3 linked regions of the Kluyveromyces lactis genome follow. The protein of the gene in region 3 interacts with the protein of the main gene of each other region in a pairwise test. Links are inferred from orthologs where the notes say so. Each region holds a gene or a part of one and is shown on either strand. Other genes may lie near its edges. The genes, in order: HTZ1, ARP6 and VPS71.

Region 1 (2,489 bases), on a different chromosome or scaffold from region 3:
GTGTTACGGGTAGTGTTGTAGTGTGGGAGACTTTAAGACAGCGTCAAAAGGAGCTGGATAGACGTGAACAGGTCACTCAAGATATTGCTTTTTTACAATCGGAAATCGAAGAACTGAGATCAACGACTAAGACCCAAAGCGACCAAATAAAATCATGTCAAAGTCTTAAGGAAGAACTAAAATTAATTCAGTCAAAACTCTCCTCACATAAATGAAAATACAAAAAGGATATTGGACCACCGATATTCTAACGGAACAAACTTGTATATAGTCCTATTCTGGAATGAATAAGTATTTGAGTATAGACGTAAACACAAGCTCTAATATTAACAGGTCATGAGTAAAAGTAGGAATTGGATTATAGATGTTACATATACATAACTGTTTAATAAAAATATGGAAATGGAATAGATGAGGGTTAAATTGCACTTTTGATATTTTGAGATAAGATAATGCGGTGAATTAGTAGTGTACCATCACGACAAGGGAAAAGAGAGGGGGGGGAAGTGGAGATGAAAATATACAACCCTTCACCCTGGGATATGATTACAGTTAGAGTCAAAAAGTAGAAGAAATATAATAATGAAATAACAATAGAGAGCTGTTTTTAAGCGCTTAGTCTCATTAAACTTCATTCAAATTGATACAATTTTCACGCTTCATTTATGCTTCTTTTCCACTTTCAACAACAAAGCCTTGTTGATATGAGGTAGAACACCACCAGAAGCGATAGTGGCTCTGATCAAGGAGTCTAATTCATCATCACCTCTGATAGCAAGTTGTAAATGTCTTGGGGTAATTCTCTTCACCTTCAAATCTTTAGCAGCGTTACCAGCCAATTCCAAAACTTCAGCAGTCAAATACTCAAGAACAGCAGTCAAGTAAATAGCAGCCTTGGACCCAACACGGGTTCTTCCAGCAGCATTTCTCTTCAAATAACGCTTCACTCTCCCAACCGGAAACTGAAGACCAGCTCTAGCAGAATGTGATTGTGATTTCAATGAACCACTGTCTTTGGCTCCCGACTTACCCTTTCCACCGTGTACTTTTCCTGACATGTTGTTTCTCCTATAATAACTTTAATATGCTCTTTCTTGCAATGTCTGATCGTATATATCTCAAACTTGAAAGCAAACAGCAGATTCTATCTTTTCTTAGTCCCTCTGGTCCAATATTCAACTTATGTGAAGTTAAGTTAAGTTAAGTTGATATCGATTTGTTTTTGTTTGTTTTGATGTTTATTTTTTATTTTTATTTTTCTGTCTGAAAGTTTCGTGTTTCCTCTCTTACTTTCATATTGTGAGATTTGCTACAAGTAATAAGATTTGGGGTAAGGGCTAGGAAGAACCGGGAGGGACGAAGGTATTTGAAATAATGAAGATATACAGGCATCGACATGTCTGGAGTTGTCAAAGGTGAACATACGGTTTGATTGGTCTAGCTTTGAAGTGCAGTTTGCCGCTTTCTTGATTTTTTTTTTTTTGCCGCCTGCTATTCTACCGGTTGTTTTTTTTTTCCTTTTCCCTCAGACGAGACAGCATGGCAGGGTAACTATTTATGAACTCGAGATGCTTGCAACCTTGTACCCTTAAAGAGCGTAGGAGCCACTGATGGATTTAAGAAACGTTCCGGCTCATTTCGAAGAACATATGGTAGTGGTGTTACTGCAATGATGGTATTTTCACTGTGTGTCCCCTTTAATTTTAAATGAGGGCCGGAATTCGTTTTTCGAATGGAATAGTAAAAGGGCTTTAAAGTGAATGCTTGACAACTGAGCATTTTCAGTTAGACTAATGTTCCAATTTTTGTACGTGCATCCGAAAATTTGTCTGTATTGCCAGCCTCTTTTACCTCCTTTCCTCCAACTAATAGGGGCTTCATGCAGCGTCTATTATAGGGGGAAGGGCATTTACTTAACAAAATTTTTGGAAACCCTTTGATAATAATGCACTTGTACCATTTCTTAGGTGCGTCGTTACTATGGTAATACATAGATTGTATTTTCCGTGCGTTTTTTTAGACATTTTTTTGCGGGCATGCGTGATGAATTCTAACTATAACAATCCTACACACTTTGCGTGAAGAAAAGTGGAAAATATAGAAGTTTAAATGCTCAGCTAATATTTTGTCATAAATCAATAAACTATGGAACCTGGTGAATATATAACAATGCTACCGTTTCTCTCATCTACATCTTGAGTCCTAACTCGACCCAATTAAGTTGATTTCCAAGTCCATAACTTAAAGCAGTTAAACAATCAGCTTTTACGATAGAAAGTCCACACTCGGTAAAATCAAACGATTATTTTATTGAATCTTTTGGAGTGTGTCACTTCTGTACATAGTATTATCGTGAAGGGCGCAGACATCAACTCTGAGTTAGGTTATCTATAGAATTGTTCCGAGTTAAAGATTAGTTTATTCCTTTTCTGATGTGGTTTTTGAACTCAGTTAATCTGTTGTTTCTGGTATGTTCGGTTGCCCTACAT
Region 2 (3,219 bases), on a different chromosome or scaffold from region 3:
TTGCCAATTTACGGTTACTGTCATAAATTTGGCGCTGAAGTAGTTGAGCCTTTAATATAGTATGTTTTCTCTCTTTGTCAAGAAATTCCAGTGCTTCTTCTTTGCCAGATTCAAGATTCTGCTTCTCTTTATCTACCAATTCGAACCTATTTTCTTTCTCCATGCAAACCTCATTCAAAGTTTCTATCTCTTCTAGACACTTCTCGATTTGCGGTTTGAATTTAGCTGTGCCAATTATATCTTCCAAATATTCCAAAAGTCCATCATCGTTGTCCTTTTCAGCCTTGGCCTTCATCTGGGCAATCGATTCCACTTCACCTTGAAGAATCAAGAATCTTTTATGGTCCAAATCAATTCCTTCCTCTTTTAAAAGTCTTGTTACTTCAGTATAATTACTCTCTTTCCCGTTAACATAGTACTTTGAAGAGTTGTTTTTGAATGCTCTTCTTTCAACCACCATTGTACCAGCCGATGGAAGAATCTTGGTTTCACCATTATCTGTATCATGAACGTAATGAAAATGAATTTGGACAGAACAGGATGCCAGACTCGGGAACTGCTCAGATTTGTGAATTAACTCGGAGAGTTTCCCTTGCCTCATTTTATTGGCTCTAAAACCGAAGACAAAAAGCATTGAATCGATAACATTAGATTTTCCTGATCCATTAGGACCAACAACTGCAGAAAATGATGTGTGGAATGGTCCAATCTCTTGAATACCAGCATACGACTTGAAATTATTCAAAACCAATTTATCAATGCATAATCGCTGTGAGGTCTGAGTATTGGCCTCGTGCATCTTTTGTAATTCAAGTCGTGTACTTTTTTTGGGTGAAAGTCTGATCAATTCAAGCTTTCTTGTCGGAGATCTAGTAGGTGATCGCGTAGGAGACCTAGGCGGAGACTGACTGTATTCGCGCCCTCGTACAGCATGTGCCGTAGGAGGTTGCAGACTCGGTGGATCCATTGTATTAGAAGCGGCAGTAGTAGCCTGTGAATTAGAGACGGCATATTTTTTTTCAGGTGAGCCCAAAACCAACTTCCTTGGCGTCCTTGTTGGCGATTGTGATACTCTTTGCCTCTTTATTTCTGGTGAGTCTCCCAGATGCGGCACAGAACTGTCTGCAGTCATATCAATCAAGCTATAGTGCAGCTACAGGAGGCAACCAGAATAATAGCTTTACAGGTCGAGGTGCTCGTTGGCTGTGGTGGTTTGCCATCGCCATCGCCATCATGATAGAATATTAAAAGTTCTTTGGTTTACATCATGATTGTTTGGTAAACAAACAATCTTTTCAAAACATGAAATTTGAAAAATAACAAAAAGGAAATGAAGAAAAATTGTAGCACTACTACAGAAAAACACAGGCAATCTGCATGCGCGCTTCTTTGAATGTCCTGATGATTTGCCAAATTGGCTATATGGGATAATTTAATGGGAATAATATAATCATACATCTATTAAAATGAGTGAGCCTGTATTGGTGATCGATAACGGATCGTATGAAATCAAATTTGGTGAGAGTGGATGGGATCAGCCACTGCGAGCGTTAAACTGCTTAACCAAGGACAAATACTCTCGCTTCCACCTTTCAAATCAAACGAAGAAAATGCGGGATATATCGCAGGCTTTAATAAGAAGGCCTCACGAATTGGGTCAACTTGTATCATGGGAATTAGAAAGTGAAGTATGGGATTACTGTTTTTACAACGAGGACGACTTCCATTGGAACTTGACACACGACAATGACACTAAAGATCATCATTTAGTAGTAAGTGAGACGCTCATGACGATACCAGAGCTTTCGAAAAACATGGACCAGGTAATATTCGAAGAATATGATTTCAAATCTATGTTCAAAGGACCTGTAGCACAATATATTCCTTTTTACCAGGGTCAATATCAAGATGACGCAATGACCGCTGCTGAAGACAAGAAAACTAGTTCATACAAGGACTTCCAATTAGTTATAGACTCGGGGTTTAACTGCACATGGGCTGTTCCTATAATAAAGGGAGTACCGTATTACAAAGCTATCAAGAAACTCGACATCGGTGGCAGATTTTTAACAGGCCTATTACAGGAAACCATTTCGTTTAGGCATTACAATGTGATGGAAGAGACAATACTTGTAAATAACATCAAGGAGCAATGTACTTTTGTTCCCCCTGAATCATATTTTTCAAGTTTCCACAACAAAATGAACACAAAGGTCGAGTATGTACTACCGGACTTCCAAACGAGTTTCTTGGGGTACGTTAAGAAACCAGGTAAAGAAAAGCTCACGGATGATGCACAGACCTTATTACTCACAGATGAAGTCTTCTCGGTACCAGAAACGTTCTTTCATCCTGAAATTGCACAGATTTTAAAACCAGGAATCGTCGAAACAATTCTAGAATGCATCAACATGTGTCCCGAAGTCGTCAGACCATTACTTGTTGCCAATATAGTATGCACCGGAGGCAATTTTAACATTCCAAACTTCCACGAGCGATTACAAACAGAATTACAAAGACAATGTCCGATAGACTGGAGCTGCAAAGTACATTCACCCCAGGAAAAGGACAAATCTCTACACGGATGGGAAAGCATGAAAGACTTTGCCAACTCGGATCAGTTCCGCTCAGCAAGGGTCACAAGAGAAGAATATCTAGAACACGGGCTCGATTGGTGCACCAAGAACAGATTTGGCTACCAACAGTGGTTGTAACCATGTGATCGCAACCACGGCTTTCGTGTATATAGAGTATATATGCATAGGTTCAATTTCACAAACGCTCACGTGATATCAAATGAAACTGCTACTGCTACGGTATTATTTTTTAGTAGCGGAAATTCAAATCCGGGTAAAAAAACTATGATCCCCTCCTGCCTCTATGAAGTACCCCTATATTTCACATACGGAGAAACCACACATACTCATATACACAAAAACAAGACAACTTGATGGAGCAAAGCTCAGGAGGGTAGAGTATCTGCAATGCGCTCATTACAGGTCGCTTCTCGAGTGTTCTTTAGTACTCTCTCACATGCAACGCGCTTTGCACAATTGTTCCGAACTTCCGTAATCCTCTGAATTCCCATGATTGCTCTATTTGGCTTCGGAAAGAAATAAGGAAGAAAGCCAAGAAAAAGAAAAAAGATAAAGCTTGTTTAGAAAGAGCTGTGAAAGGAAAGCTTATTACGTATTTTTTGATATATTAAGGTAAATGTTA
Region 3 (2,751 bases):
TCACTCCTAGCATAAATGCCGTTAAAGATATCTCGTCCAATTCGTTCTTTTGTATATTAGGAAATGTTTTCCCATCAATAATCACAAGAACATCCTCACTTTCATCATCTCTGCTCGACATAACTTCCGCACCTCTCAATCCACGCCAATACCTTCACTGATTTCAACTAGAATAGCTCAGAATAAAAACCAAAAACCAGCGTGAAGGATTCTTCAAGGTCTGATATATTAATGGAATATGATGCGTACTGCTAAATACCAACAGCAAGGAGTTCAAATAGTGTCTTGTTCGATAACAAATAGTTAAGTTAAAGTCTTCTCTTTCATCGGTATTAAAATTGTTTAAAGTGAAAGAATGAAAAAAAAAAGATAATGGCCTCGATTTTATACTATAATCAGTATTTACAAAGACATCAACATGAAGCAACAAACACGGGATCATGAGCAGTGTTTTGAGGTTCAAAGAGAGTAGCTGTTAAGTTTTTTCAGCTAGCAGCAAACTCAGTTGTTACATCTTGTTTCACTGTGTAATTCATAACAGCGAAGACTGCATATCTTGTCATTGCAAACAACGCAGTTAGATATACTGGAGTAACCACCACACATAGAGCAGGTGACGATCATTGGTAAGACCCTGAAAAACTTCTTGTTTTGAACGTTACTATAAATGAGTGTGTGGTTCACTTGGTCTAAAGTTTCTAGATAGGAGTGTAAAGACCTTCTGCTTGAAAGTACTTTCCTTAGTGCTGATATTCTGTTGGAACTTTTCTTTGATTTCCGAGGCGGCTTGCTTGATTTATACAATAAATTCATAGACTTGGGCAAATCGAACTTGGCCATCCTCTGTCTGGATGAACCTGAGCCTGATTGTTGCTCAGATAATATACCGGTGCTTGTTTGATCGATCTTATCTTTGTTCAGCCCCGTGATGTTACTGAGAAGAGTTGTAACTTCACGAAGATCTTGATAGTTTTCTGTGTCAAGTTCCATGAACCGCTTATTAGATCGTAACAAATCAGGCAAGGCATGCTTATCAGATCCTGTCAGTTGATTTATGTCGTCTTTATCGCTTCCCTTGGGCTGATTATATATCTTTGCCTCCAAATCAGCCAATGAATAATTGACTCTCTTGTTTCTTGCTGAGGTTTGAGACTGTTTCGAGACCCTTGCACTTTGATGAGTTTGGTTCAAACTGCTGAAATAAATGTTAGGATTATACGTCCTCACATTGATTTCTTCTACCGACCTCATATTGACACTCTTCGCACGCTTCTTCCTTCTTTTATCCAGTGATAAAGTGTCTTCCTCGGTATACTCACTATGATAAGGTCGATTTTAAATTTCTTTGCCATATTCTCATTTGATATATAATATGGTAGATATGCGAACAACAGTAACTGAAGGGAGAGAAAAGATGTCAATCATTGGGTAAGATAGGCCGTTAACGTATGGTTGATGATGGTACCAATTGTTGCCAGTGCATCCTTGTTCAGTAATTCATAATAGATCATAAAGTGGTTAGAATATCATATATAATGGACTCGTACTAAAACAATATAAACTGGTGCCTGTGCTATATCATAGTTTGGCCTTGGCAGAGTTGTGTAGAGACAAAGTTTCATACATTTCATCTGCCGCCTTAGTTAAATAATAGTGTAGTTCGTCAACACTAAATCCAGAAGCTTCTGGTTTGTTGGTGATATTAATGTGCAAAAATTCGTTATTGATCATATAGGCTAAGCCAAATCCATTATCGTATACTTGAGACCAACCGTAACATTCAAAGTTTTCAGAGGATAATTGTGAAGTTGAAATCAACCAAGTAGAACTGTATTTGAACAATGCGTCTTGGAACAAAGGTACTGGCTCATCAGATTCATGAACCATGTTTTTCAACCCAAAGAAATGGCGATCAACGGCTTCACCGTTAGAGGCCATCTTCAAATATTCAACATGATCCTTGGCAGCATCGTAGAAAGCAGCAATTTTCTCTTCAGTAGTAGAAGTAGGTGATTCCCATGTTTTAACGAACTTGGAAGAGGATTCAGTGACCGGTCTACCAGTTTCAGTTCTACCTTGGAAAAACGCTCTGGTAGAAGCAGCTTCGTACGTTGGTAGTTGTTTCTTCAAATACTTGAAAACAGCAAGTTGAATCACCTGTTGAATGTAAGCATCTGGTGACACTTTAAATGTTTTCACAATTCTCTTACCATACCTATTATAGTGCCAAACGCGTAAATCTTCACGTTCCACTGTTGTTATAAATTGCAATTTTGCACTCTCGATAGTATTTCTCAAGGTTGGTGTAATTATAAATGGTAGATGTTCACTGTTCACAGAAGGGTAAGCTGATACGTTGGAATGTAAGGACTCGACGAACGCTGAAGGATTCAATTTTGTTAATTGATCCACGACGTAATGGTTTAAAAACAAAGTTGGAGTACCATCCATTTTCGAATGTTCTGCCAAGAAACCGGAGAAACCGTTACCAGTAACAAAAAATTGCAAAGGCTTGTCAAAGAATCTATTGGTTCCGTCTCCGTGCCAGCACACTCTAGACTTATCTTCCAAAGTTATTGGAGCAGTGTCCTGATCCAAACATAAGACGAATGAGGATTTGTGGATGGTTTCTAAAGAGGAGGAAGATACTGGTTCTAATTGCAATTGTTGATAAGCGCCAGCCCATTCATCACGAGGAAGAGTTGTCAATGCACCGATTCCAGCGTTTGCATTGATCAAAGAACCCTGTGA

What was found.
Region 1: the proteins of VPS71 (region 3) and HTZ1 interact in binary tests that used the Saccharomyces cerevisiae proteins (3 or more experiments, as listed by UniProt). The link is inferred for Kluyveromyces lactis from reciprocal best matches to the Saccharomyces cerevisiae genes VPS71 and HTZ1.
Region 2: the proteins of VPS71 (region 3) and ARP6 interact in binary tests that used the Saccharomyces cerevisiae proteins (3 or more experiments, as listed by UniProt). The link is inferred for Kluyveromyces lactis from reciprocal best matches to the Saccharomyces cerevisiae genes VPS71 and ARP6.

What each region holds. Positions count from the first base shown.
Region 1 is NC_006039.1:522,336-524,824, forward strand, and holds HTZ1 (histone H2AZ), read right to left. Parts: upstream 1,059-2,489; coding exon 660-1,058; downstream 1-659. Other genes in the region: KLLA0_C05896g (OPA3 family protein), read left to right, coding at 1-215; PLB3 (lysophospholipase), read left to right, coding at 2,433-2,489. UniProt on the Saccharomyces cerevisiae protein: Variant histone H2A which can replace H2A in some nucleosomes. Nucleosomes wrap and compact DNA into chromatin, limiting DNA accessibility to the cellular machineries which require DNA as a template.
Region 2 is NC_006042.1:1,756,024-1,759,242, reverse strand, and holds ARP6 (Arp6p), read left to right. Parts: upstream 1-1,466; coding exon 1,467-2,714; downstream 2,715-3,219. Other genes in the region: condensin subunit SMC4, read right to left, coding at 1-1,132. UniProt on the Saccharomyces cerevisiae protein: Component of the SWR1 complex which mediates the ATP-dependent exchange of histone H2A for the H2A variant HZT1 leading to transcriptional regulation of selected genes by chromatin remodeling. Involved in chromosome stability.
Region 3 is NC_006037.1:190,993-193,743, reverse strand, and holds VPS71 (Vps71p), read right to left. Parts: upstream 1,252-2,751; coding exon 502-1,251; downstream 1-501. Other genes in the region: STE14 (protein-S-isoprenylcysteine carboxyl O-methyltransferase), read right to left, coding at 1-121; carnitine O-acetyltransferase CAT2, read right to left, coding at 1,579-2,751. UniProt on the Saccharomyces cerevisiae protein: Participates in the catalytic exchange of histone H2A for the H2A variant HZT1, an euchromatin-specific factor, leading to chromatin remodeling and changes in transcription of targeted genes. Indirectly involved in vacuolar protein sorting.